7 separate regions of the Mus musculus genome follow, and regions 2, 3, 4, 5, 6 and 7 are each reported to be linked to region 1. The links are microRNA targets in miRTarBase. Many come from high-throughput screens and were not tested one by one. Region 1 holds a microRNA gene; each other region holds the end of a gene's coding sequence.

Region 1 (4,077 bases):
GCTCAGGAAGTAAATGGTGCTGTTTGGGACAGTTTTGCCCTTTAAAAAGAACTTGGGAAGTTCCGGAGACCCTCCAGTAACAGCAATAAACAGGGTGGCTGTGGAATGGGCTTCTTCTGTAGTTTGGGTTGGGATGCAGACATGTGCCTCCATGCCTGAGACGGGATTTAGCTTTGTAATCCAGTCTGCACTGCTCAGAATCACAGGACGATGTGTGCTTAGCTAAATCGGGTTCTTTTGAGTGCATATAAGAAAGGTTCTGCTTGAGCATCTGAGGATCCGATGAAAAGTTACAACAGGCTAAAGTCTGAAAGCAGGTCTGGTCAATTTTGGAGTGAACGGTGTGCCACTGGATCCCAGCTATCCTGGGATTTGAGGCCTGGAAGGGTTAAATGAAGTTCCATTTTAAAAAATCAACTTATATACACAATAGGAATCCTATGCCTGCTGAGGCTTTGTTAGTACTATAGTGGCCCTTTGGGACACTTGCTTCATCTGGGTAGTAGGCATCCTGACGGGTTGCTAACCTGGAATAGGGGAAGCCAAACTGTTTCCTAAGCATTCTTGTTTCCACAGGTTCTGGTATTGGATGGCCGAGGCCATCTTCTTGGCCGCCTGGCGGCCATTGTGGCCAAGCAGGTACTTCTGGGTAAGTTTCATTCACCATTTACCTTTGCCTGGGAGTCCATGATGAGCAACACTCACCATCTTTCGTTTGAGTCTCACGACTGTGAGATCAACCCATGCACCGCTCTGAGACTCGCCAGCCCCTGCTTTCTTGGGACCCCTGGCCTAAAAATACTTTTGGAGCAAGAGATCTGCCTTCCAAGAGGCTTTGCTGACTAATCTCCAACTCCCTGTTAACTCTAGGCCGGAAGGTGGTGGTCGTACGCTGTGAAGGCATCAACATTTCTGGAAACTTCTACAGAAACAAGTGTGAGTTAGGGCTGGGGCAGTGGTCTTCAGGCGGGCTGTTGCCTTGCTCCTGGACAAGCAGGCTATCTGCTCTGCTCTTGGGTCCAAGGGTGCCTCACATACTTTTGTCCTGACAGTAAAGTATCTGGCCTTTCTCCGGAAGCGGATGAATACCAACCCCTCCCGAGGCCCCTACCACTTCCGAGCCCCCAGCCGCATTTTCTGGCGCACTGTGCGAGGTGAGTTGGTGATGTGGTGACATGTAGGACAGGGTAGGCTCTGGCAGCTTGTGATGAGACATCTCCCACTCATGTTCGAGTTGCTCGACTATGAGATGACTCTACATGCACTACCATCTGAGGCTGTTCTAGCCCTTGCCCTGGGGTCAGACGGGGTTCTCAGCACCTCTGATGAGGCCCGCTGTTACCCCCACAGGCATGCTGCCCCACAAGACCAAGAGAGGCCAGGCTGCCCTGGAGCGCCTCAAGGTGTTGGATGGGATCCCTCCACCCTATGACAAGGTGAGCCTTGCAAGCCTAGCCTTACAGCCTCTGCGTCCAGCGTCTGTGATGTTCTGCTATTACCTACATTGTTTGAGCCTCATGAAAACCCCACTGGCTGAGACGCCTACCCTGCTGGCCTTCTTGCTAGGTGTTCCCAACAGGTCTCTGAGCATCTCTTTCTCTCAACAGAAAAAGCGGATGGTGGTCCCTGCTGCTCTCAAGGTTGTTCGGCTGAAGCCTACCAGAAAGGTAAGCTCTAGGTTACAGGTTAGGCTTGTGAGCCTCAAGACTGGCACATGATGTTCTTATTCTCACGATGGTCTTCGGATGCCACAGTTAGGGCAGTGCCGATAATGCCAAAGGCTAAGCTGATGCCAGGAGGGCTCCCGTGCTGGGGATGAGTCCTTGAAATAGGGTCCCTAGGCCCTCCGGCTCACCCTTGTGCTGCTGGGGCACATTCCATGTCCTTACAGCCTTGTGCCTCTGCAGTTTGCTTACCTGGGGCGTCTGGCGCATGAGGTCGGGTGGAAGTACCAGGCAGTGACAGCCACTCTGGAGGAGAAACGGAAGGAAAAGGCCAAGATGCACTATCGGAAGAAGAAGCAGATCTTGGTGAGGACGGACACTGAGATCCAGGATTAGGGGGGCGCAGGTGAGAAGCAACCGCTCTGACATGTGTCTTTTCACACCACAGAGGTTACGGAAACAGGCAGAAAAGAATGTGGAGAAGAAAATCTGCAAGTTCACAGAGGTCCTCAAGACCAACGGACTCCTGGTGTGAACCCAATAAAGACTGTTTGCCTCATGCCTGCCTGGCCTGCCCTTCCTCCGCCGCCAACTAGGGAAGTGGGGACCAAAGGTTCCTTAGGCACTGCTCCTGTGGGTAGAGGGGACATTAGAGAGCTGACAGCGCACCACCTGCATGAGTTTTTATTAAAGTGCAAACCATGGGATGAATCAGTTGAGCTTCAGTGTTGAAAATGAGTAGCAGGGCTGCCCCACCCACCTGACCAAGTACCCTATTCTGCAGCTATGAAAATGAGATCTGCACATGAGCTGGGGTTCACAAGTGCACACTTGGAGCACTGCCTTGCTCCTTCCCAGCAGACCACAAAGCAGTATTTTTCTGGAGGATTTTATGTGCTAATAAATTATTTGACTTAAGTGTGTACGATGTGTGCTGTGCAGAGAGGGGCAGAGGGCACCAGCAGGTCATCTGCATGGGGGGCCCCTTTGGGTGAATCCTTGCTCACGGGATAGGCTTTGTTGCTCAAAAGTTGCAGATATACATCTTGGGTCCTGTCCTAGATGGTGTTACTGTAAGTCAGCACCAAGATACAAGAGCTGGTACCTGGACTGTAGGAGGTCAGGCCATGACACAAAGGCTGGGACTAAAGGCATTTACCACGCCTGAGTCTTCTGGTTCTTTAAACATCAAATCCTTCCGGGGGCTGGCGAGATGGCTCAGTGGTTAAGAGCACAGACTGCTCTTACGAAGGATCCGAGTTCAAATCCCAGCAACCAAATGGTGCCTAACAACTATCCATAATGAAATCTGATGCCCTCTTCTGGAGTATCTGAGAACAGCTACAGTGTACTTACATATAATCTTAAAAATGCTTCCCATGTTAACCACCACTAGAGTTTTTATTACAGCTAGCTGACCTGGAAGCCAAGTCCTTATGCCTCCGTGAGTGCTGGGGTTAAAAAGATCCAGCACCACTCAAAATGTCAATCTATTTTGAAAATATGCTTTATACTGTTCTAGCCCATCTGTGCAGGGCTAGAACGGTGAATACGAGAAACTGACACAAGCTTTTGCCACCTGGCTAAATGGTTCCTCTATTACCTGGGGTGGTCACCTAAGGTTAGACACTCATCCACGAGTAGTCAGGACATAAACCCATCAAAGTGTGGGTAGACGCGCAGCCTGAGATACTGTCAACAAAGGACATGCGACCTTGGTGACGTCGGCCTTTAATAAAAGGAAGAAAGGTTGACTATTCGGTCGACGCTGGCTGCTCCTGACATCGTATGGCAGATACTCTGCTGTAAAGCGGTTCACCCCTTTCTTGAGACCCGCTCTGCACGGCCGCTTCTCTCTGGAAACTGAATCCCAGCACGTGTTTCCCAACCCGTACGGCACGCCTTCTCCGCCCTAAGCCTCGCCGTACCACATGATGCACGTTTCCTCCACATCGTGCTCCTGAAATCTCGCGAGATGATAGGATCTTCCCGCCCCTTAGTCCTCCCCCGTCATGGCGGCGTACGGACAGTCCCAGGAACGCGGGCTCTCGCCGGAAGTACCTCCCACCTCCGTGAGGATAACCCCGCGTCACTTCCGCCCCGACCTCGCGTGGTGAATAAGGAAGCCGGGAGCGGCCCTGCCTCTCCCTTTCTCCGGCGGCCGGGAAGATGGCGGACATTCAGGTTCGAGCGTTTAGTTGCTTTCCCCCGACGCTTCGGTGTGGAGCGTATCCCTTGGCGTCCTCGTTGTCTTACGCATTAGCTGAAGCGAGGATGCCTGCGAATGCCTTCGTCTCAGGCGGCTCGGAAATCCGGGCTCTACGCAGTAATGGGGTCCCTGGCGCTTCGGGAGTTGGTTCTTAAAGCTCAGAGCTTAACGGGTGAGGGATTGTGGCGGGAGGAGGGCATCCTG
Region 2 (4,077 bases), not on the chromosome of region 1:
CGTGGTGGTGCACGCCTTTAATCCCAGCACTTGGGAGGCAGAGGCAGGCGGATTTCTGAGTTCGAGGCCAGCCTGGTCTACAGAGTGAGTTCCAGGACAGCCAGGGCTACAGAGAAACCCTGGAAAACCAAAAACCAAAACCAAAACAAAAATGTGTCACTGTGACTATCTTGTGGTGACCAACTGTGATGAAGAGGAGAGGGAAGAGGGCATGCTGCAAATATTTTATCCTGAGAAAGACATTCTAGGAATTTTTCTTGTTCTAATTGCTCAGATCTGACGTTAGCTGTGCCCATCTGCAACTCTCTGGCCATCGTCTTTACACTGATTGTTGGGAAGGTCCTTGGAGAAGATATTGGTGGGAAAGGTAAGTTGGGTGGCTGCACGTCAGGGCATGGTTGCTTGGGCCTTGGCATACATGAACATTTTCCCGATTCTGACTCCCATGGGTGGTGAGGAGAGGCCTTCCCTCACGTTGCCCTTTGTTCTACCACAGCTCTCCTGCTTGCTTGTGGCCCGCAGTCTCCTTTCCCTGAGCAATCTGGGGGCAGGGGCTGGGATGAGAACCAGGACCAGGGGTCACCATCTTGTCTTCTTCCTTGGCCCCACTGACCCCAACCCCTTGACGGGTTCTTTATCGCAGAAGCAGTGGCTGGCATGGTGCTCACCATCACAGGGATCACCGTGTGCATCACAAGCTCGGTGAGCAAGACCCAGGGCCAACCGTCGCACTCCTGAGTGGGCCAACCCCGACCGTCAGCTCTGCTGTGCTCGGTGGATGCTGGGCCCAAGGTGTAGGCAGAATGATTGGCCAGCTGGCCTCTCTCATCTCTCAGATCATGTCTATCTCAGGGGCCACAATAAGAAACATACTCTCCATAGTGCCAAGGCTACACAGAAACCCTGCCTCAAAAAAACAAGCAAAGCCGGGCGTGGTGGCGCACGCCTTTAATCCCAGCACTTGGGAGGCAGAGGCAGGCGGATTTCTGAGTTCCAGGCCAGCCTGGTCTACAGAGTGAGTCCAGGACAGCCAGGGCTATACAGAGAACCCTGTCTCGAAAAACCAAAAAAAAAAAAAAACCCAAAACAAACAAACAAGACGAAGGGCAGCACTGGGAAGGTTTTGTAACCTTTAGTGGGTTCCACGGTTGAGATTTAGCACTGGAGCCAGGCATGGTGGTATACTCCATTAATCACTCAGGAGGCAGAGGCAGGTGGATCTCTGTGAGTTTGAGGTCAGCCTGGTCTACAAAGCAAGTTCCAGGACAGCCAGGGCTACACAGAGAAACCCTGTCTTGGAAAACCAAAAAGAAGAAAAGCATTAAAAGGATTTAGCACTGGAGACTGTACAGCCACCCTCAGCTGCCATCTTTGTCTTCCTGCTGCCACCTCAGGCAGCTGTTACTCAGCCTCCGTTACCTGCTGTAGACTGTCAGCATCCTCACACAGCGCCTCCATTACATGGAAAGGGCTGGCTGCAGTCTCAACCAGGAATGGCCAGAAGCCTCCACAGCTCCATTACAGTGCTTTGGCTGGCTGAAGGTGGGATTTGGGGACAGAAGTTACATCAGAATGTCAGATGGAAGAAAAACAAGCTGGCCCTGGGCAAAATGCTCAACTGTCAGCCCCGCAAGTAGACAGCTGTGTGCCGGACACCACCTAGCTGCAGCAAACATCTGGCCAGCAGCAGCTTTCAATAAATCTACAGCAAACAAAGCTTAGCAAATGTTTTATTTGTGTTGAGTATGCAGTGTCTCTGGCAGGATCACATGAGGAGGTAGCCTCCACAGAACCTGCCTGTGGGCCTGTGACTGAGGAGGCCACACCTACTGTGAGCCCAGGAGGCATGGCTTCTCCAGAACAGGTTGCTGAGGGCTGGGGACAGAGGTGGCTGGGAGTGGTTGTCCCCCAGTTTGTATCTGGAGCTCCCAGCTCTTAAGATGGAGGAGCATGGGCGGAGGTTGGGGCTACAGCTTCAGGCCCAGGCTGGTGTTGCGCAGACAAGGCCTCTTCTGCTGTCTCTGCTGCCCTCTGGTGGATGTGTGGAGACATACAGAGCTATGTGTGTGCCCAATTTGCATGGACTGCCAGAGGTCCCCAACCAGGAAAGGCGACTACTGGATATTTGAACGCCTCACAAGGGAAACAGGAAGCCAGGCTTTCAGATTTAGATCTGCTTAGCCACCAGGAAGACGAGCCTTGGAGCCCAGACTTTAGCTCAGATCTCTGCCCATCTTAAGGCTCCCTGGTGTCCATGTGATGGGCTTACCTGATCCACAGGCTCCTCTGTGCGTGTGTTCTCATCCTCATTCACTTCCTGAGCCCCAGCCGTCTCCTTCCTCGGGTATGGAGCCCCATACACTCCCGTAACTCCTAATAAAGAGGCAGCATTGGCCGATGCCCAGGCTGTAGGGCCCTCAGGCTCCTGTGCCTTCACCTGCTACACCAGTTGGTTCCCCGCAGCTGTGTCCACATTCGCCAACGCCTCGGAGGGTGACTGCCTGTGTGACGGTGGAAGGAGGGAACTGACTCCACAGAGTTGTCCTCTGACCTCTACATGGCCATGGCCTGCATGTGCCCATGTGCGTGTGTACACACAACAGTGAATACAGACGGAAATAGAAGCAAGGGACATGCAGGTAGAGGGGTGGCACATAGCTCTGCTGACTCATTCTGCTGCAGACATCTCCCAGCAGCAGCAAGGCCCATCCTCTCACGTCAGAGGGGGACTAATGTGAGAGCTTTCCTAGTTTGTGTAAGCACAGGTGCTGATGCAAAGGGCCAGCCCCAGGGCCCCCTCACCTGATGGAGATGAGAGAGCAGGGAGCTTGCTCCAGGGCTGCTGGGGCCTGGCATAGAAAGTGGATGGCCCAGTTTCCCCTGGCTCCTTTGGAAAAGGCTGGGCTGCTGAGGCCTTGTAGCCCTGGACCTATAGATGGGACACTGGGTTAGAGCTTCGTATGTTTTCATCTTTCTCACTTCCCAGTCTACGCTTCGGTGTGCCTTGCTGCCTGTGCAAGCTTGGGAGAGGCCGTGTGCCTTCTTCATAGCCTGCAGCCTGCCTGCCTTCATTCCTACCAGGCTGTCTATCCAGAAATAGTTGAATTGACGCTGGCATTCAGAGATGCCCAGTGAAACCAGGCTGCTTTCTACTCTTGGGCCACATATGCACTGGCTCATCTGGAGGAACAGAGGCCTGGAACAGGGCCGTGAGTGGAAGGTTGGGCCCTGCTCTGCCCAGTAGCCAGTTCCAACACCCAGCCTCGTGAGGAGGCCTTTTTGCCTAGGCTTGAGAACTTGAGTTCCCACCCCAAGGAAGGGGGGAGGGATGGAATCCTGGCTTTTCAGGCTTGCTGAGCAGGTGCATGGGGTGTGGTGTGCGGGTGTTCCGGTTGACACCTACCCTCTTCCTGTGGGCTTTGTACTTCAGGCCTGGAGGACACCTGCAGTGAAGGGGAGGTTAGAGGTGGGTCAGAGGGCACTCACTTCCTGTGATCCTCCACCTCAGACAAACCTACCAGCAGCCCCTGGACAGAGAGGGGCTGGGCACCAGCAGCTCCATATAGGGCAGGGCCTTGAATTCTTCTTCTCCAACAGCCACGTAGTAATGGCCGTTCACCAGAGCAGTCCCTGTGGACAGTGGAAGCCCCTCGAGGGTGCAGAGTCTGTGAGGAGAGGTAACAAGAAAGAGCTGGTGGGTGAAAGGCAACTTCCTACCCAGTAGGCACTGTGCTCCAGCAGAGGACCTGAGTCTGGTCCTCCAGGCAACAGTCAACATAGGCTCTGCCCTGACTAGAAGGGCTGGGTTAGGAAACGCAGCTGTCCTGGGTCATGGGACTTGACATGGACATAGCTGTCCTCAGGGGCATAGGAGGAAGGCCTGCTGGACAGCACACACCCTCCCCAGGAGCAGACACACACAGTGGCGTTCCTTAGGGTGCATTCTCCCTTGTTCCATACTCGTGTACAGCCCCCCCTCACCCCCCACCCCGTGCTCACTGTGTACAGCCCCCCCTGCTCACTGTGTACAGCCCCCCCCCCATGTTCACTTGTGTACAGCCCCACCGTGTAACATTG
Region 3 (4,077 bases), not on the chromosome of region 1:
CAACTGTGTTAGTATGTTGAGCAGTGACCATTTACTCGCTTACAAAGCAAGCATCTTGTTTATTCAGCACCACGAATTAATATGTATGGCTACTTTTCAGCAACACAGCTTTCTTGAGTCTCATACAGCTTAAAGAGGTCTTCGGGTGGCTCACCATGTGGTGTGACATTGAGAATGTTCTCTTGTTGTGCTGGATCTAGTCTGAGAGTACGGGTGGGGACACAGGACAGTTGTATTATATTTACACCAAGGGCATGGGACACAGTGGTCTATTTATATACCTTAGTTGCTTACCATTCATAGTCTAGGAGGCCAATCCTAAACCGGAGGGTTTTGTCTGGGGCTAGGTTGCCAGTATAAATTCCCAAAGTGAGACTCACTGCAAAGAGGGCAGCATCCTGAGCTGCTTTATTGTTGCTGAAGCTCAAAGCAAAATGGCTCAGTCATCCCAGCTTGGCATTAATGGGAAGACTAGAAATATAACATATGCTCTTTTTTTTTGGTTTTTTTATTTTCTAAAATAGTTATCAAGTTAATTCACAGACTCCCAGGTCAGCACCATTCCATGATGTACAGTATTTGCAGTGGCCTTCAGTGAAAAGACCTAGCTTGAGGCTGTATCCTGGGTTTCTGGTTCTCCTTCCTGCTCAACCAATTGTCCTCTATGTGCTTGTTGACAGTGATGCTGGCCCACTGAGATTAATGACTGTATATTATGAGGAGCAAAGGACTCTGATATTATTTTTAGCATGTAATTTTTGGATGGAAAATATAGTTTGTTAGGTCTTACTGTCCATGAAAACAGACATCTACCTACACACAAAACAAAAAACAAAACTTTGCCTACTTTAAAAGGGTCACTACTTATGCAAATGATGACATATTTTTGGTATGTGGGTCACACACAGGTGGCTTGTCACTCATTTTTAGTTTACAAATGAAGTCCATTTGGGTTTCCTTAAATTCCTTAAATTAAGTGAAGATAAATTAGGATGTAAGTAGGATGGAGACACAGCTTGAGAACATCAAATCAGCTCTCAGCAGGTAAGAGTCTAAAGTGCCTCTTTGTAGGACAGAAAGTTAACTGCCACTTGGGCACCTGTTCAAGAGACTGGACCAGGCCATTTTCTTATAATAGGAGCGAATTTTTTGCTATGTCAAGTATACCTACAAGTGTACTTGAAGGTGTCTGTGTTTTAGTTGTTTGGTCCGGACAGAGTATGGATTTTGGAGAATATGGAGTTTAGTTTGGAAAAGTCAAGTGGGTAGACATGTGAGGGATGCAGAAGATGAGACTTTACCAGAGCCGTTCTCCACCATGGCTGGAAAGGCAGCAAAAAAGATGGAGACAAATCCCTCCCTCTTTCCCGGAAGTCATACAGCAGACAAAGGGTACAGTGAGACTGAATATGATCAGTAATTAAGATGGGAAAGTGTTAAGAGAGTTTGGCTGACACCAGCTACAAAAAAATGAGCTCGTGCAACTTGGCCTTAGAAAGTCTAAGAAGTTTCTGACCCATGACTGAGTGTGATCCCACAGAAAGGAACACTGGGAAGAAGCAGAGTGGAGATGCAGGACTTGGGGTTGCTTAATAGACTCAACGCTCTAGGGGAAACGATTTACTCTGTTTGGTTAGCCACCCAAAGTGGATCTCACTTCCTACGTTCAAAGGTTATCCCATGCATTATATGATTGAAGTCCAAGAACTCTAAACCCCAGGCCAGAGTCCCTGCTGCTGCCTTGGTGAAGGTGCCCTAGGGATACATCAAGCTGAGGGAGCTGGCACTCCCTGTTGGCAACAAAGCTCAGAGTCAGGAGGGGCGCCTAAAGATAGACAGGAATCTGTGTGCAATTTCCTGTTCTGGGTTCCTTAACCAATCTCCTCAGGGCATCTTGCAAAGGGGAAGGGCCCTTGAGTGGTCCTCTGAAGCTTCTGTGTCTGTAGGACCTACACAGCAAGGGAGCCTTTGTCTTACAGGATAAAATGCTGTAGCCAACCTTGAAGACAGGCATGCACAGGGCTTTGGTGGCCCTGTGGCAAAGGCTTATAGTCTTAGCTCCCCTCCCCCATCTCTGTCTTCTCTTCTCTCTTTTCTTTCTCTTTCTTCTCTCTCCTCTCGCTCCTCTTTCTATCCTCTCACCTCTCTTTCTATCCTCTCACCTCAATCTCAATCTCTCCCCCCCTTTCCACTTCTCCCCTCCCTCTCTATCTCCTCCCCTCACTCTCTTCCTCTCTTCTCTCTCTCAGCATGCAGGTTTGTATAAGCCAACAACAACAATAACACAATGATTGCCCATGTTCATTTCTCTTAAGTGTTCCTATTTCTAGAACCAAACTTGTAAAAAAGTCAAGACTGCAGTCATCTCTTGGCTTATGTTAAAGGTGTGGGTACATTTTAGGACTTTTACTAGATGGTCTTAAAATCTTTTCGGTTCTTGTTTATGACTATAAATGAACACGTTCATTTTAGCATTTACTCTTTATTGCGTGGTATGATGTACCCAAGTAATGTGAACATGAGCTGTCCTTAAATACCTACCTCACCTCCAGTCTCCACAGAAGCATCACCCTGTGCCTCCTACTGGGAGGAGGTAACACCCGAGCAACAGGGTCAGGCTGATAACGCATAGGGTTGGGCTGGTTTTGTTTTCAAATACACACGCGTAGCTTGCAAGGAAGCCCGAATGGAAACACGACAAATAACACTTGATGTATTATGTATAAAATGTAGACTTTGCAATAAAAAGCCAAAGGCACATAAAAATATATTTCAACTTTAAAAATAACTTAGTTACAGTAATACCTTGCTTGTTTTTAACCAACATGTAGCTGACAGTCAAACTTTTGCAACATGGAAATAATATACAGGGATATATAAAAACCACAAGGAAAAAAAATCCCAAATCCTGTAAGGTTGCTCGAATATGCAAAGAGTAAAATCATAACGCTGGAGACTTCGCTGTGGTGAACCCAAAAGATACAATATACAAAAAAGGCTAGGAAAAAAAGGCGTAGGTGCCAAATAAGTAAGTTTCCTTCTCATAACATGCAATGAATTGCCTTGGAGAGACCCATGGACCCAGCCCTCTTAGACAGCCTGGATTTCTGCATGTCTACAAACAAAACTGAGCATGTATGAGCATCAGCAATGCCTGTTGAAAATGAGCTCTGACTCACTTCCTCCTTTTTCTTTTCTTTTTTTTTCTTTTTTGCCAGAACAGGTTTTTTTGTTTTGTTTTGTTTTTTTTAATTTTTAAAAATTATTGTTTTCAAAATTTTTGCAAACAGGGCATGATGGTTAAAAAAATATTTTGTAGGAACAGGAGCGTTATTTTAGAAAATGCATCACATGGCTGCAAATAAAAACAGTCAGAGCAGCTCTTTCCATCAGCTGTGGTTAGTTGATTTTTTTGTTTTCTGCTTATTTTGGTACCTCTTACTCCCAAGAAAAAGAGCTGACTCCTGGCTACTTATTTTTATCCATGACATTCAGGACTTCATCCAAAAGTGAAGGCCCAAGATCCAACTGCAGGGAGAGCAGGGAGCCGGTCAGGTCAGAGAAGGACTCTTCTGATTTAGTCTTTGACTTCACAAGCTCACAGGAGGCAGGATGCTCAAACATGTCGTCCGCGGGCCAGTCGGAGGACTGTTCCGACAGGCTGGAGGAGTGGCTGTCGCGGCCCTGGCTGGACTGAGACCCGGAACCACTGGAGCCCCACGAGGTGTCTCCCTGGTGGACTGCCCCATTCTCTAACAGACTACTTTGCTCCTGAACTTTCTCTTCCATGACAGGCTCACAGCTGAGCCTTGGCAACTTAGGACGCCCAAAGGACTCCTGTTTGGAATGAAATGTCACTGGGGACAATAAGGGCAGCATCAGAGCCTGGGATCCCCCAATGGTGGGGAGGGAGATGGCATTTTTGAGCACCGGGGAGGGTGTTTCTGTGAACATTGAGTCCGAGGTGCTGTTGGCCCGGAAGAAGTCGTTATGCCCCGGGAACTGGCCAGAGTGTGCCTTCTCTTGGTTTCCCGGCAAGAGCTCATAATTCCCTTGAAGAAAGGAAATATCCCCAAA
Region 4 (4,077 bases), not on the chromosome of region 1:
GGGCTCAAAGTAAAGCACTGTTTATTCTCAGCTTTGTCCATGGTTAGGCAGGAGACCCGAGGATAGTGCCATTTCTGTGGAATTTGTGTGTTGGGATTAGCGTTCTCCACCACTGGTGTGTTGTGCTGTGTGCCTGACAGCATTCCTGCTTCACACAAGAGCAGAGGAGCTTCCAGCAGGTCAGGCCACATGCTCAGGTTCACACAGTGAAAAGCCTAGGTCTTGATTCCTGTCTATTCAACTCCAGATCAGGAATTCATAGAAATACTGGTGCTGGCCAAAACACCTAAGTATCTTGGTCGGGAAGATCACCCAAAGTGAATGGACACTTCTGCAGGGAAGCTGCAGACAGGCCCCAGTTCCACAGACAGGCTGGACTCATGATTTTATCCTGCAGAGAATGTTAGGGTAACTTGAGAAAGAAAGTGCCCTCTTCTATGGAGATTCTGGGAACAGGTGAGCCAGGTAGTAGGTGGAGCTGAGCCAAGTGTCTGTTCCTCGGGATTAGTTTGGGTTAGAGATCACCCTGAGGGTAGGCTACAGAAGAGCATAGAGGAGAGAAGAAAGAGGAAACAGAGATCTGGCCGCCTCTACCAACCGTGCCCAGCAGGGAGAGGCACTTCCAGTAGATACTGTGGTTGGAAAATATCTACAGGCTGACCACAGACAGGGATGCAGAGAGGCAGGTAGATCTCCGAGAAGATACCTAGGCCAACTAGAGGCCTGCCAAGGAATTAGGCCAGCTGTGGGGCAGGCCTCTATGCCAGGAAGGGTATTAAATGAGCTTCCAGCTTATTTACTTGTCCTAATTAACCATAAAATGAGCCCAAGGGGCAGAATTTAGCTGTCAATTTCTCTCTGCCTATTATCACCATCTCTTCCCATGACTGCCAGAGCATTTCTATGCACCTCTTCACTTCAGTGACACACTCTCCATTACTGTCTCAGCAAGAGCCAAGGATATGGACAGGAAAGTAAAAGTTATATGAGGTTGAGTCACCATAAGCTTTCATCAACCAAGCATGACCTAGTAGTTGGGACATTATATCAGCCACTCTGAGACCCAGGCAAAATTCCTCCAAAGGGTAATTAGCATGCCACTTGTCAATCATGAAGAGACATGAATAATCTCAGAAGACAAATGTTATTCTTGATCTGGCTGTGGAGCAAATGTAGACAGTTTGCCAGGTAGCATGAATGTAAGATTGGAAGTCAATTACAAACTGATTCAATCCCAGCTTTGTACTGTGTGACCTTGAAAGAGTTAACTTCTCTGAGCCTATTTGGGTAAAATGAGCAACCATTTCCCAGGTGTAGAAAGAAAGGAAGGAAGGAAGGAAGGAAGGAAGGAAGGAAGGAAGGAAGGAAGGAAGGAAGGAAATAAGAAAAATAAAGGCAAAGGTGCCTGACACATATGTATTATCTTAGATGCACAAATTACTTCCTAGTTGTTTTGTATTGGTCCCCTGACTCTGTTCACTGCATTTCTTTGTGTGCCTTGGTAGATGTGGAGGCCAGCAGCTGGTTCCTTTCCTATCATTGAGTTCTCACCTTCTATTACAGTGCCCAGACAAGCAAGGAGTCTGTCATGTTAGTTGATTTAATGGCTGTAAAAGTGGCTGCTGGGGTTTGAACTTGGGACCTTTGGAACCACAGTCAGTACTCTTAACCACTGAGCCATGGTTCCAGCACATGTTAGTTGATTTAAATGATGTGAACTATGACTGGTCCACAAGCCAAGAGAGTTGTCCATGGATGGTGAGGAGGTGACCTGGCTTCCTATGCCATCAAAGTCCATGTCCTCTTGGATCATCTGTTGAGTGTGCCACCCTTCAGGAGTCAGGGTGTGGGGTTTTCACATGGTCCTTCTTCACACACATCACAGCGGCCATCAGAGGGAGCTACCGTTATCTTCCTTCACCAGAGACAGAAGTTCAACGGAGACAGGATGGACAAGGACATGCTTGACCAGAAAGAGTGAGCTCAGCTGACAAACACCAGGCCAAAGTAGATAAGCCTGATGCCCACAGATTTGAGCTGGGAACTGCTTTCCTTTTTGAGCAGCTTGATGGGGGCAACGTGCATGCCAGGACCCTTTGACCCCATTGATTAATCGTTCTGAGATAGGTACATTGCCTAGCAAAAAGCTACAGATTTTTTTAAAAAATCCCCACTCTAAAAATAAATAAATAAAGCCATCTCTCATTTAACTTGATGGGAACTTGTGGGCAACCCTTCCCAATCTTACTGTTACCTCCCCATCCCTGTCCCCTAAGCTCTCCCTTCCTCCTCTCAGTCCCTTGGGAGTCTAGACTGCAGGCAGAAGAGCTTCTCTTGTTATTTTTCTTCTCCAATTTGCTCTTAATGCTCTGGGGGCAGCAGGCGGCTTGCCTCTAATTGCAGTTGTCACACCCCATCAAGCTGAGCTAGGTCTGCCGGAGGGGGTGAGGGAGGAGCTAAGGCACCCTCCGGGATAGCTGGGCTTGAACAGGGGCCTACTTTGTTCTCTCCTGGCTAAGGGGTGGGGGCTGAGATGGATTCCTTATGGACCCAGGCTTGCATGCCTGCTCACTATATAAAGTGCCTGGCATCAACCCCACCCTGCGGGTCCCCTGTTGACTTCCAGGTTGATGAGGATAGATGTGTCCAGCTCACCGCATGACTATGAGATGTAGACTAAGAATTTTTCTAAATATATGGGTATTATTTCTAGGTTCACCCCAACCATCTGCTGCCCTGCAGGAGCATTATGGCAGGCAACAGGGGTCAGGATGGGCTCTCACTGCTGGACCAGGCCGTGTGTGACTCTAGGGTCCATTTATAACCATGAGATCGGCCTGCCCTGTTTTGTCTCCTGGCAGCCGAGTGTGTTCTCAGAGCTTGCTGCTTTATGAAATACCATGCTGGTTGGGCACGCCTACTTGGACTCATGAGACAGTGCCTGCGTGAAAGCACGTTGCTTCTCCTCTGCTCTTTGGAGACCTAGGGCTTCTCAGGCTTCCTCAACACACACACACACACACACACACACACACACACACACACACACACACCTGCTTGTTCTGGGTCCCCAGTACCCAGCTATGGGCTAAAATCTTGGTCCTAGTAAGGTCTGTGATACCAACCCTTTACAAATGAAAACCCCTTGCCTGTAGCAGTGCCTTGTCAGGAAGCAGACCATTAAAATGGTTGCGGGTCCCTGAGACTGGTCTTTATTGGAAGTTCCTCTGGGAAACCTGAGGGCTCAATGCCCCTTTCCATATAGGATGTTCAAATGAGGTCTTGGGAAGTAGTGGAGGAGTAACACAGGCTTCCTGGACTCCTCTCCTGCCTCTCCCAATTATTGTCACATCCAGCCTCAAAGAACACCACCACCACCACCACCATCACACACACACACACACACACACACACACACACACACACAAATACACACATTCTCTCTAGGGACTCAGCTCAGCCTGACCTGTGACAGACAGCCTCTCTCCACTTGGTTCTACTGAGGCCTGACTGAGAACTCTTTCTTTCTTTCTGAGGATGGGAACTTGCATCTGGTCTGAAGACCATGCCATCTGCCCTCCCTCTCCCCCAGGGCCCTCACCAGTCTGCATTTTAGGTTCAGTGAGCATCTCTCAGACCCAAACAGCTGTGTTAATGTCAAAGCCCCTACAGGAGGGTTCTAAGGCCTTGGGGCTGCTTGTGGCGGGGGTTTCAATATGTCTGGGCTCTCCTGTGCTTGAGAAAGGGAACCGTCCTGAGCCCTTAGAAAGGCTCCTCTTCTTGACTTTCTTCGAGCGTCCTGCTCGTGACTCAGAGACCATGGGAGTCATCCAGCCAGGCTTCTCCTTGAGCAGCCGGTCTCTGTCGGGCCGCACGCTACGCAAGAACTTCCTAAAAATGTTTGCGGTTAGGGCAAACTTACGACCCAGCTCTCTGGACTGGCCTTTTTCTCCTTTGGGTTCAATGGATCCCCCAGTCTCACCCTTTTCCCCGCCCTTTTCCAGTTCTGGTAAATCTAGCCAGTTACCCACCAGGTCTGCAAAAACATTGTCCCCCAACACCAGAGGCTGCCGATTT
Region 5 (4,000 bases), not on the chromosome of region 1:
ACAGTGACTGCAGTAGGGAGAGCTCAGCCAGTGAGCAGGACAACACTCTGCTCCAACAGTATTTAACCTCCGTCCAGCAGCTGGACGATGCCGCAGAGGCGGCCGATTCTGACGATGTGGCAGGAGACGGTAAGCGTCACCTCGCTTGTTCTCCGGAAAGGTTTGACGCCTCCTCTGACAGTGAGACTCATAGAGTGGCCTCTACTTCACAGGATGAAATTAGCCAGACGCCAGAGAATTGTCAGTTAAACGAAGAAGCCCAAGGGCAGCCTCCGGAGTGTGACCCTGCCTTTCAGGGGTTGCATGTGGGTGTCACTGTGCAGCCTGTCTGATTTACTGGGGAGCAGAAATTCAATTCGATTTTCTTATGTTTTCAAGTGTCTCTTTTGCAGGGGAGCAACCCTTTCCCCCATTTTGTTATTATTTATATACAACTTGTTTCCTTGTCCCACACTTTTTAGATATTAGCTACTGAACTACGTCTTCATTTTCATTGTACTACTGTACTAAACAATATTGATATTAAAAGGCATATGCACTTTATTTCTTAATAATTACACCAATAATGTTTCCTTTACATCCGTACTGCCTTTCAGGAACAGTTCCTTGCAGTAGTTTTGGTGATTTAAGTAGGAGAACTTGGCTCTTGTTAGTCACATGGTAAGGGATGGAATATGTAAGGCACGGCTAGGGTGAGGACTATGGAAAAGTGAAATTTCCCAGGCAGTCTCCTTGGCCTAAAACTGTGGCTTTCCACCCTTTGTGTTAAGGAAAGCCTTCTTGTATAAGAACACTTAGGGAGAATAAGGTTTAGTGTGTGTGTGTGTGTGTGTGTGTGTGTGTGTGTGTGCGCGCGCGTGCCTTATGTGTGCGTGCTGGCATTTAAAAGTCTGAGCCTGGAGAATGGTCAGCATGTGCCCGGCCATTGAGCTGCTCACCTAACTCCCAGATCGTAAGACTTTTAAGTGGGTGATTAAATTGCCTCATGACAAACATTAGCTAATTTGTGGATCAGTTTTGAAGTAAGGTATTCCATCAGGATTAAAATCAAGCTTGCTCGGGCAAGTATCTTTCTCTTTGCTATGGAGAAAGGAGACATAGAGTTAGTCACTTGGAACCATGCTGTTCAAATGCCTCTTTTCATTATGTACTCTTTTAGGCTGTTGACATTTATGTGCCAATACTTTGGGGAAGAAGTAGATCGTAAGAAATCAATATGTATTCATCATTATGGTCTTGCTTTTATTTCTATATATACTTCACCAGAAGAGCCAAAGCTACACTTCACAGTGTGTGTGTGTGTGTCTGTGGACCACAGGAGTTACAGCCCTGTGCATGCCCCATGGAGCTGTGTCTCAGTCCTTATTTCACTCGTGACCTTTGTCCCTTAGTGAAGAACGTTTAAAATCCTGATAGACTGCAAATGTTGTTTTTTTCCTGAAGAATTTTTTTTATCTAATCTCTGAAAAGTGCCATATTCGAAGGACAATGTACTGGTGACTAAGAAAAGATAAATCCAGCTGGGCTTGGTGGCGCATGCCTTTAATCCCAGTGCTTGGGAAGCAGAAACAGGCAGCTCCCATGAGTTCAAGGACAACCTGGTTAAAAGTAGGTGCTAATATCATCCATTATTCTATTAAAGCCATTAGAGCCCTTTAATTGAAAGTATATAAAAACAAAAGTTCTGGTCCTTCCAGAATAGAGTTGAGGACCATGTGGTACTTGCTGAGAGGAACAGCTCTACCTTATGGCGAGCTGAATTCATAAACACATAGTACTCAGGTTGAGAAGGCTTGCATTTCATTCTCAGAAATCCAGAGTCCTTTGACAAGGACATGTTTTCTGGGTTTTATAAACAGAACAAGTCTTGAGTTCAAACTATTTCCTCTAGTATAGATGTGTACTATTGAATGCTTGATTGATTAAAACTGAAAAGTTAACTCTGAATAATAATTACCTTTTATAATTTTGCATTTCTTTTAAAATACTTAATTTGTATGCGTGTGTTTGTGTGTGTGATAGTGTCTGTCTGAGTGTATGAGAATATGTGTGTATGTGTGAGAGAGTATATATGTGTGTGCTGTGTATGTGTGAGAACTTGTATGTGTATGTGAGAGCTTGTGTGTGTGAAAGAGAGAGTGTGTGTGTTTGTGTGTGAGAATTTGTGTGTGTATATGTGCAAGGGAGAGTATTTATGTATGTGTGTGTGCCTGCTGGAGGAAGCCAGAGGTGGGTGTCAGCTCCCTTGAACCTGGAGCTGACAGGTGTTTGTAAACCGTCCCTCAACCCTACCTTTTTTATTCCTTTTTCAATAGGCAATAAGAATTTTTCTTATTTTTCTATTTTTACAGTTAAGTGCCTCATTTGCTGCCCACAGGTAAAGAAAAACATCTCACTGAGGTAGCACCAAAACTGTTTCACGGCACATTAATTTCAGAAAAGTGGCTCCAGCGCTACGGTTGAGCGTCCCAGAGCGCCGTTCTGGTAGTTGCTTTTTCCTTTTCTTAAGTCATGGAATCTAGTCAGATCTAGCCATTTCATCTGATAGACACTGTCAGCAGAACTTATTGTTCTTTTGTCTGGTTTTCTAGTCTGAAAATGGCATTCAACATATTTTTTTTGTGAAAAACTTGGCAGAATATGCTAATTGCTCATATTCTGCTCTACCTCTCTCTTATTTTATCTCAGTTTAGAAGTATGGGAATGTGAAGTCGCCTGCTTCGAGCTGCAGAGAATCTTGACTATAGGTGAAAATGCAATATGCCAGAATGTAGGAAAACTAAGACAGAGACCTAACGTATTTTTATTGGTTTATAGAATTTAAAGGTAACTAAGGGATAGTAATTTATGTGACTCTGGATTATTTATTAGTCTGGCTGGGAAGGGAACAGACTAGGGAGTCTGGGGAGTTGAACTTTGAACTTGGCTTTTTTTGATAAGAGATTTTTGTTCAGCTGTGCTGCTTTGGCTCAGATACATTCTCGCATTATGGAGGACTTGTCACTTCGAGTTACTGCAGAGGCATAAACTTGTACCACATAGGCAGGCAAGACTGGCACATGCCTTTAGTCTCAGCCTGTGCGACGAGGCAGATACAGGCAGATCTCTGAGTTTGAGACCAGCCTGGTCTACACAGAGAAACCCTGTTTCAAAAAACGAAACGAAACCAAACAAAACGCCCACAAGCCTCCTACCACCACCCCCCCGCAAAAAAAAAAAAAAAAAAAAAAAAAAAAAACTCGTCATACCCTGTGAAAATCAGAAGGAATCTTGAGATTATCTGTTGCCATTACTATTGTTGTTATTATTATCGCTATTATTATTGTACAATGTAAAAGAGATGCTGGCCTTATGGCAGCGACTGACTGTTTCATTGTGCAGAGGAAACAGCAACCCAGGGATGATAACCAGCCTGTGTAAGGTTGCGGTAGCCAGCAGTAAACTGGAAACATGTTCGTGTATTTCAAGCTTTCCATAACCTTCTCTGTCCATCTTTACAGGAATGAGTAAGTTGCTGCATTTTAAACAGGAAAAACAGCTTTTAAGAGAGGCCCTTTAATGGCAGAGTTGTAGCAAACAGCTAAATCTTTCAGAACCTTGAATGAATGTTCTCCAAAAAAACCAAATGGGACTTTCTTAAAGTTGTTTGTATGAAGCAATAATAGCAGCCGGAAATGGCAGTGCACACTTCGTTTTTTTGTTTGTTTTTTGTTTTTTGAGACGTGGCTCTGTAGACCAGGCTAGCCTCTAACTCAGAGATCCTCCTGCCTTTGCCTAACGAGTGCTCGAATTAAAGGCATGCAGCATCACAGCCCAGCAGCGATACACACTTGTAATCACAGCACTTGGGATGCCGAGGCAGGAGGATCTGAGAGTTCAGGGCCACCTTCAGCTACATAGTGAGATTCAGGCTAACCTGGGCCACCAACAGCAATAGTAAAGTTAAAATTTTAGGAAAGAATCACTGTATCTTAATCATTTATTTGATGACAGCTAATCT
Region 6 (4,077 bases), not on the chromosome of region 1:
TGTGAGAAACCTGTTTACCTCTTCTGTGTGCATTCCAACAGGTAATCTGAGTTTTTTTCACACATCTTTGTGTGTGTGTGAAGTATAATTTCCATGTAAAATTACTGGAAATAATTAAAGGTAAGAATTAAGCTCAGTTAGGTAAAACTACCTGCCTTGACCTGGAGTTTTATCACTGTTACACAGAGGCATTTTTACACAAGGCCAACATATTTCCTGCGTACTGCACATAAGCACTCGTTTACTTCGCATCTGAACAAACACTATTTAAGCCTTTAATATTTTAAAATTAATTATTTATTTACATTTCAAATGTTGCCCCCCTCCCAGCACCCCCTCTTAGAATTCTTCATCCTATTCCCCCTCCCCTTTGTTCTGAGAGGGTGTTCCTCCATCCCCCAAGCCTTTAAAATTTAATACATTCACATTAAAATTTGAATATGACAATAGGCTTATGGTTATGAGCTGTTTTTCATATCAACAAGATAATTAATTCCATGACATCTTTTTTCAGTGGTACAGAATTTTGCAGATTCTTTGTTTTTTTGTTTTGGTTTTTTTGAGACAGGGTTTCTCTGTATAGCCCTGGCTGTCCTGGAACTCACTCTGTAGACCAGGCTGACCTCGAACTCAGAAATCCGCCTGTCTCTGCCTATGCAGATTCTTTTTAAATATAAGACTACTATATACAATTGTGTAGTGTAGTGGGCTTACATTACAAAGAAGTACCTATAAATAAGCAAAGAATATAGAGTTATGTTTTTCCTATATCCACACGTGACTTAATGCATCTCCTTTATTATTGTTTTGGTTTTCTTTTTACCAAGACAGGGTTTCTCTGTGTAACTGGCTATTCTGTAACTCATTCTGTAGACCAGGCTGACTTTGAACTCAGAGATCCATCTGCCTCTGCCTCCTGAGGGCTGGGGTTAAAGGTGTGCACCACCATTGCCTGGCTGCATTTGCGTTTATTTTTATTATTTTTTGGTAGAGCATTTGCTTTTATTTATTATTGGTATATATATTATTATTTGTGTGCACAAACATTTGGAGGTCAGAGGACAATCCTCAGGAGCCATCTACCCTTCTGTTTTCTTGTTTGTTAATAGTTAGCTCTGAAGGATGCATAGACAGAGTGAGAGAGAGAGCAGCTTGCAGGAGTGAGCTCTCCCTCCACCTTCACATGGGCTCTAGACTTGCCAGCCAGGGCCTTTATCCATTGAGCTATCTTTTTTTTTTTTCCATTTGTTTTCAGATAAGGTCTCTGCTGGCCTGAAGCTTACCAAGTCAGCTGGGCTGGCAGTAAGAACTGAGTCTCCTCCCCAGTGCTGGGACTACAAGCACATGCTAGCACTCCTGCTTCTGTATTTAAGTCCCGAGGATCAAACTGAGGTCCTTACGTTTGCATAGCGAGTACTTTACACTGAGCTGTTTCCCTAACCCCTACACTTACTTTTAGAATTCTATTTGCTCCTGATTGTGAATTTAAAAATAAAGATTACTATTTTAGAGACTCAAAATCTCGATGTCCTAATGTCGCTCATTTTTAATGATTTCCAAGTGGGCACCAAGTGCATTGGGAAAAGATTCAAGAAAAGTACCACAGAGCTGCTGACTATCCAGCCGTCAGATAGCTATAAAAATGCTACTTACATTCTTTTCTATACTGCCTATAATCCAAGCTATTAAACTTTAAAGCCATATGAAAGCATTTATGAAGATACTGAATTGTATTTCTCATTAAAGGGAAAGGAAGGGCGTGGTGACTCCTATCCCTAGACTGACTTATGGAGAAGCAAAGGCAGAAAGCCATATCATTAGTCTCTTTGAAAGTTAGAACTCAGCTCCTAGCAGGGTTTACAAGCAGTTAAGAATGCCTCCGTTTCACAGACTCATGCTCCTCTGAGCATCCCAAAGGCAGTGAGAACATAAGCCTTCTGATTTTCTAAACCAAATTCATTACCAAATGGATTTATTAAAGAGCTATGCAGAACAGCTACGCGTGTGGCTGCAGCTGGCACCCATGGGATGAGAAATGACGACTCAAGGGCTCTTGCAATTGACTCAGGGCAAAACGATCTGAGGCTTATGACAGACAGAAAGATCTAAAATCAATGAGCAATTGTGTTGAGAGGAATTTGTTTACATTTTTTAATTTTTAAAATATTGTTTATTTTCTTATTTATTGAGACAGGGACTCACTCTGTAATTCTGGCTGGCCTGAAGCTTACTATATAACTCAGTAAATCAGACTGGCCCTGAACTCAGGGAGTTCCAACTGCCTACGTCTTGTGGAAGGTTACATTCAAAGACATGAATCACCACATGTGCATTCTTATATTTGCTTGTAAAGGATATTTCCTATATTAACTGTTTTATTTCCCTTTTTCTTAATACTGCTTAAGAATTCCAGCATTTTTATCTAGAAATAAGGAAGAAAAAAATACAGGCTCCTGGCAAATAAATACCTATTGTGTAAATTGCCACAAGAGCTTTTTAGTCAGAGAGAATGTTTCATCTTGAAGCTAGTATACCCTTTCTTCTCTCTCTTCCTCTTTCTTTTCTTTCTTACTGGTTTTAGATTATTTTATGTGTATGTTTTGTCTGCATGTATATCTATACACTACATGTGTGCCTGACGCTTGAGGAGGTCAGAACAGGGTGTCAAATCCCCTGAAATTGAGCCACCAGGTAGGTGCCGGCTCCTCTCCAAGAGCAACAATGCTCTTAACTGCTGAGCTGCCTCTCCAGCCCACCATATCTTCATGTATTTATTTATTGAGTATGTAGCTCTGTATGGGTCAGAGGCAACTTGTGGAGTTGGTTCTCTCCTACCAAGTGAGTTTGGGGATTGAACATAGGTTGTCAGACTTGGTGGCAGGTTTCTTTACCTTCTGAGCCACCTTGCCAGCCCACAAGTTTCTATACATAAAGCTCATTTTTAAGTGCTTATACACTCATAATTCGTGTGTATATTCGCTTCAAAAGGTGGCTTCGTCATTCCTGCCCATTGGTTTGTATCAGGCACTCAGAGGATGAACAGGCTGTCAATGAAGCGAGCTGATGGTGCAGTAAGACCAGGAAGGTGATGACTGCCCTGTAGTCCAAGCTGGACATAAACTTACTCAGTAGCTCAGGCTGGCCTGGAACCTCACAACCTCCTGCCTCAACCTCCTGAGTAGCTGGGATTATAGGCATGTGTCATCACATCTTGCTAGGATCATGTACTTTACAAACTTCTACATTGTACTGAGAAAGGCATACTATGTTTCTTTTGGAGGAGGAAATCCTGCTAAACACTACGGTAAACTCCCAAGAAGCCAAAACTCATCTCCAGAGCTCTTTAGGCAGCACGTGCTTAGGATTTATGAGACAGCAAAATTCCCCAGCTGTAACACAGCGTCTGCCTAGGACCTGGTGAAGACATTCCTCTGATTGTTGTGTTTAATTAAATTAAACAAAAAAAGCACAAAAGGAAGAAGCTGGGGTGTTTCCAGTCATCTTAGGGCAGTGCAATCCTATAAACAATGGTAATTACAGCCCCCACATGCAGCCTCAATACACTCCATGAAACAGATCCTCAACACGGGACTGGAACTTCAGACAAGCGCTTCTCTCATGAATTCTTCAAGGACAGCCACCACACTTTTGGCCTCGGGCATTTCTTCATGTTCCACTTTAACAATCTTCAAAAGGATATCTCCACTGCCACAGTTCTTAAGGAACATGTAACATTTAAACAGAGCGTAATGATTCATCTCTGCCTGTCGGATAAATCTCTTCAAATTGTTTGTGTCTTGTATAGCCTAGAAAAAGATTGCCCTGTAAGTATGTTCAGTGACATGATGATGATGCTTGAAAAATACCCCGTCTCTAGCTGAACACTCATCGGACACTGATAATGTCGGCTTTTGTTTTGTCTCTTGACACAGGGTCTCACTATGTAGCTCTGGCTGGTCTTGAACTCTGTCTCCTGAGTGCTGGGATTAAAGTTATGTACTACCCACCCTGCTAATGTTGAACTTTAAAAAAAATACCCATTATTCCTATTGCTAAAATGCTTGCCTTTAGTGTAAA
Region 7 (4,077 bases), not on the chromosome of region 1:
GTTTAATAAAGTGTTCTTAACAAGTTCTACACTAAACTAAACCGCTGCCCTCCCTGGCCTGCAGAATGGACGCTGTGGCTGAGGGCTGACACTCTAGCAGCTGGGGTACTACACCCCCTTCCCTTAGAGAGGGGAAACCAGGCAACTGCATGAGAACACGGAGTCCCCGTACCCATCCTAACATTCCAAGTATTTTATAGACTCTGCATTACGTAGGTTAAAAGCAAAAATCTCAGGTAGGAAAAAAGGAATGCCAAAATATGGTGTTCAGATCATCCCAAGGGTCAAAAAGTTCAGTCCCCATTCAGAAACAGATAAACAGTATATTTATTAAATGAGTTAAGACAAATAAACTTTACAAATAGACAAATAATAAAAGGCTCAGTGGCTAAAAGAGATGGTAAGCATCATTAAAAGAAATCAACACCATCACGGTAGTATCCCAGTTGGCTTACACGTGGAAATGAAAGTTTCAAAGAGCAATTTCACAGAAATGAAGCCAGGTGGTTTTTTTTGTTGTTTTGTTTTTTTTTCTCTTATAAACAAATCACCATTTTCTTGGTTCAAAACTGATAATCTGTTATGAAAATTACCATATCACATATTTGTAAGATGACAAGACGTAACTCATCCTCAGAGTGTGACAACTATTTACAACCACGGAAAGGCAATGATGGGGAGAAAAGGGAGTCTAAAAAATATACAAAGATTAAAAACATTTGGGATGCAAAATTAAACAAGTTTTTTTTTTCTTTCTGATTTTGGTTAGAGAATAAAAGAGAAAAATGTGAATTACAGATGTTGATTTAGGTATACACACTATAGAATGGGATCCAAGATCTTTAACAGCTTGCTTGTATTTTTTTTTTTTTTTCCTACTTACATAATGCTGTGGACATTTCTGGTAGAAATTACAGTGTCTCAAAGAGAGAAACGCACACCGAGCGTGTTTTGCTATTATGACTTCACGGATGTCCTAAGACCCACTTATGGATTTAGAGGTGGGGTAAAAAGCCATTGCCTTGAGTTTTGGAAAAAAAAAAAAAAAACCGGAAAAGCTAGACACAAACCCTCCAGAGCACATGCAGGTCTCATTCTCTTGGTAATTACATTCATATTTAAGCATAACCAAAATAAAAAAGAAAGCTGAGAACATTTCCCTTTCTCTATTCCCTATGCCTCACAGGCTTCTTCAGTGGATAGGGTCAATTCTTAGAGTTGAAAGGGTTCTTCAAGAGGAGTCCCCCACCCTCCGTCAGGGTGAGTCACTGCCCCAAGATCATGCAGCACGTTAATGGCAAATTCAAGACGAGGAGTCCACCTTGGGCTCCTGGTCTAAATATGCGTCCCAGCATATCATGCTACCTCTTTTTACAGTATGAATAACTACAAACACCTGATGAGTAAAAATGTACAGTGATCGATGGGACAGAGCCGATGTGTTTCTAAGACTTGCAGAGAGTTACTGCAGGCAACTGATGGGGAGAAAAAGATTCCTCCCACCCGCCCAAAAAAAAAATATATATATATATCAAGCACCATCAACTAGATGTTTCTTTGCTAGGTCAGCATTCTTGGATGTAGTAGTCCTCGTAAACTTTAGGTCAGCCTGAGGATTGTTTAACTGGCGAGATCTGCGCCCTGAAACAATACCACTTTCTAAAAGGTCAAGACGAGAGGCAGACAAAGGAAGAAGGTAGACAGAAAAGAAGCAGAGAGCCTGGAAATTCAATTGTCTCAGAGATGAGCATAGAGTTCGGCATAGAGTTGGTTATTACAGAGATCGTGTTTAGCCGCTTCCTCAAATCTTCATGCGCCATCCCTTTAATCTAATCTGTGACTGGGACACTTAATAAAAAACAAATACATCAGACAACTGTGGTCATTACTTCGTATAAAATGGCGAGACTACTTTACTTTAGATAAAAGTAGATTCTATGAAGGGTGTGCTAGGTGGCAAAACTGCTGTCTCAGCTCGACTCCATGGGGTGACCAAGAAAGGATTCAAACAGCCCTTCCTGAGGCTGCCACCAGCTTGAAATTTATTCTAGTTGTGGTTAGAGGAGACAGGCCAATGCGGCACACGTAGAGAACCAAGGAGCTGAGCTGTCTGAAGAACCATTGCTGTGTATTTATTTAATAAAAGGGCATATTTATTTATGTTTACAAACAAGTTTCAAAAACAAAAGGAAACGATGTATGCCTCTCTCTATTAACCTTTCTCAAAATGCCAACAGCCCCCTCTATGCTGTGTGAAGGTCTCTACGCAGTTATTAGAAAAATCAATGCAGTCACTCACAGTTCACTAAGACATCACTGAACTAACATATTTAGACAAAAACAAAAAAAAAAAAAGACTAAAGGTTTCTCTTGTACTTTGATAGTTTAATTTGATTGGCCTGAAATAACAAAGGCATTTCAAGCATCTTTCATTGTGTATTTGATGTCCCGCAATAAACAATCTACTAAATTCTGAACAAAAGGTTATTAGCAAGTTTTCAAAAAATTTAAAAATTAAACAGTTCTTTCAAAACCATTAAGTAGTAAATGTATTTAAGAAACTAATTAGGACAGATGCCATAACTTCATTAGAACACCACTGCTCATGGTTTTTGTTGTTTTTTTTTTTGTCTTGTTTTCTTTTTTCTTTTTTGTTTTTTAAACAAAGCATTAGTGTTATCTATTTGGCTATTAGTATTAGCAATTTATCTACATATGTAACAAGATAAATTGTAGGCAAAAATTTAGTACAGTTTCAATAGAAACACCCCCCCCTTTTTTTTCCTGAAAATACAGCAGTATTTGAAGGACTAATTTTTCTCTGCATTACTATAAGGAAGCTTCCCGTCTATGAAGAACAAAAAAAGTATCTACAAACCTTGTAAACAGATCTGTATCATTTATAAACATAAATAATCCAAATTATTAACAGCCAACAGCAGAAATTAAAGTATTCACTCAATGATCCAGGGCTCTCTGTCTCACCCAGCGTCACTCCTCCCTCCCTCCCATCAAGAACTGAGATAAACCACAGCTCTGCTAGTCAGGACAACGTTAGGTACCACTGACGACCCACAGGCCACTCCTGCCGAGTCACCGCTGTTCATCTGTCAGTTCGTTTCTCCCACACCCCAAAAAAGCACCCTCAGTCTGGCAGAAAGCTTTGCTTTTGTTTTTTTTAAAAAAATAAATCTACATTCGTACAAGTGTGTCTTCTGTTGAAGTCCAGAGACAAGAATACTATCTTGTCCGTCACAATATGTGAAAAGACTCAGTTTCGATTTGTTTCTTTACAATGCAGCTAGTGTGTTACCATTCATCTTACAATCAGAGTGATGTTTCCAAACTATGTAGTGGGCTTCCTGGGGATGAAGAGGTAGCAGACTTGTTCATTTCTATTGTAAGGTGAATTCCGCTGTCAACAGCATTGTTATTTTTGTTAGGAGAGGGCGGAGGGCTGGAGTTGCGTTTTGTTGGGGCGTCGTCTTCAGCATCAGTGTCATCAATAAGGGGGATGTGCGGCTCTGAATCTTCTATCCTAAACTCAGGGTGTGTCATAAAGTTGTGGATTGAACTTCTTGATTCTGGCTTCTCTAACCCTTCGTATAAAGAACTACGAAATGCATTCACCACTCGGATCTGTAAACAGCACAAAACACAGAGAGATGTCAGGACGCCAGGAACTTCGCCACAGTAATGGTTCACTTATGAGTTTGAATCCACAAACAGCTAGGTATGAGTGAATCGAATTTGCATGTAATGCAGTGGAACTTGCAATACACTGTAAAAAAATGAATATTTTAGTAGGACACTACAGAACAACGAAACCACGTACTCTAATCGAGAGGTACACGTTCAAAGAAAAACTAACAAAATCTCAATGTTACTGGCTACAAATTTAATAGCCATTTTGTAGGATTTTTTTTCCCTAAGAAGACAAAAACAAAAACAAAACAAAATGAGAACTTAGCCATACACAAGCTTACTTGAATTATATTTAAATAAAAAAGCACATATTTCTCAAAACAACTCAAGGTTAACAATGTCAAGCACAAAGGGGACTATTTATCATGCTAG

Evidence for each region. Region 1 holds the annotated microRNA mmu-miR-5121 (AGCUUGUGAUGAGACAUCUCC, at 1,200-1,220, shown strand). A microRNA usually pairs through its seed, bases 2 to 8, with sites in the 3' UTR of a target mRNA and lowers its output. Matches are read on the target gene's strand: a 7mer-m8 pairs with bases 2 to 8, a 7mer-A1 pairs with bases 2 to 7 and ends in A, and an 8mer does both.
Region 2: the mRNA of Tmem234 is a reported target of mmu-miR-5121. Seed matches in the 3' UTR shown: 7mer-A1 at 917-923.
Region 3: miRTarBase lists Cdc42ep3 as a target of mmu-miR-5121. Seed matches in the 3' UTR shown: 7mer-A1 at 2,808-2,814.
Region 4: miRTarBase lists Inka2 as a target of mmu-miR-5121. Seed matches in the 3' UTR shown: 7mer-A1 at 3,055-3,061.
Region 5: miRTarBase lists Cep97 as a target of mmu-miR-5121. Seed matches in the 3' UTR shown: 7mer-m8 at 3,181-3,187.
Region 6: the mRNA of 5730455P16Rik is a reported target of mmu-miR-5121. Seed matches in the 3' UTR shown: 7mer-A1 at 2,343-2,349.
Region 7: the mRNA of Atp2b1 is a reported target of mmu-miR-5121. Seed matches in the 3' UTR shown: 7mer-A1 at 852-858.

The regions. Positions count from the first base shown.
Region 1 is chr7:45,124,068-45,128,144 of GRCm38, reverse strand. It overlaps Mir5121 (microRNA 5121), which reads left to right and starts at 1,154; the gene lies at 1,154-1,227. It overlaps Rps11 (ribosomal protein S11), which reads left to right and starts at 3,756. Exons shown (of 5, transcript NM_013725.4): 1 at 3,756-3,848. The coding sequence starts at 3,834. Rpl13a (ribosomal protein L13A) reads left to right here. Exons shown (of 8, transcript NM_009438.5): 2 at 577-649; 3 at 871-936; 4 at 1,053-1,154; 5 at 1,351-1,436; 6 at 1,608-1,667; 7 at 1,908-2,030; 8 at 2,113-2,582. The coding sequence ends at 2,199. Snord35a (small nucleolar RNA, C/D box 35A) reads left to right here and starts at 1,710; the gene lies at 1,710-1,798. It also overlaps Snord34, Snord33 and Snord32a.
Region 2 is chr4:129,606,813-129,610,889 of GRCm38, forward strand. Tmem234 (transmembrane protein 234) reads left to right here. Exons shown (of 5, transcript NM_029748.3): 4 at 275-367; 5 at 644-1,717. The coding sequence ends at 738. It overlaps Dcdc2b (doublecortin domain containing 2b), which reads right to left. Exons shown (of 7, transcript NM_001195730.2): 3 at 3,519-3,665; 4 at 3,404-3,443; 5 at 2,803-2,929; 6 at 2,270-2,373; 7 at 1,118-1,536. The coding sequence ends at 1,519. Among named protein-coding and RNA genes, the nearest start is that of Dcdc2b, 5.4 kb to the right of the region's middle.
Region 3 is chr17:79,331,257-79,335,333 of GRCm38, forward strand. Cdc42ep3 (CDC42 effector protein (Rho GTPase binding) 3) reads right to left here. Exons shown (of 2, transcript NM_026514.3): 2 at 2,467-4,077. The coding sequence ends at 3,469. Among named protein-coding and RNA genes, the nearest start is that of Gm17315, 21 kb to the right of the region's middle.
Region 4 is chr3:105,716,770-105,720,846 of GRCm38, reverse strand. It overlaps Inka2 (inka box actin regulator 2), which reads right to left. Exons shown (of 2, transcript NM_175398.4): 2 at 5-4,077. The coding sequence ends at 3,633. Among named protein-coding and RNA genes, the nearest start is that of Inka2, 14 kb to the right of the region's middle.
Region 5 is chr16:55,901,500-55,905,499 of GRCm38, reverse strand. Cep97 (centrosomal protein 97) reads left to right here. Exons shown (of 11, transcript NM_028815.4): 11 at 1-4,000. The coding sequence ends at 332. Among named protein-coding and RNA genes, the nearest start is that of Nxpe3, 8.2 kb to the right of the region's middle.
Region 6 is chr11:80,360,213-80,364,289 of GRCm38, forward strand. It overlaps 5730455P16Rik (RIKEN cDNA 5730455P16 gene), which reads right to left. Exons shown (of 10, transcript NM_027472.3): 10 at 280-3,806. The coding sequence ends at 3,600. Among named protein-coding and RNA genes, the nearest start is that of 5730455P16Rik, 16 kb to the right of the region's middle.
Region 7 is chr10:99,022,370-99,026,446 of GRCm38, reverse strand. It overlaps Atp2b1 (ATPase, Ca++ transporting, plasma membrane 1), which reads right to left. Exons shown (of 21, transcript NM_026482.2): 21 at 304-3,639. The coding sequence ends at 3,328. Among named protein-coding and RNA genes, the nearest start is that of Poc1b, 83 kb to the left of the region's middle.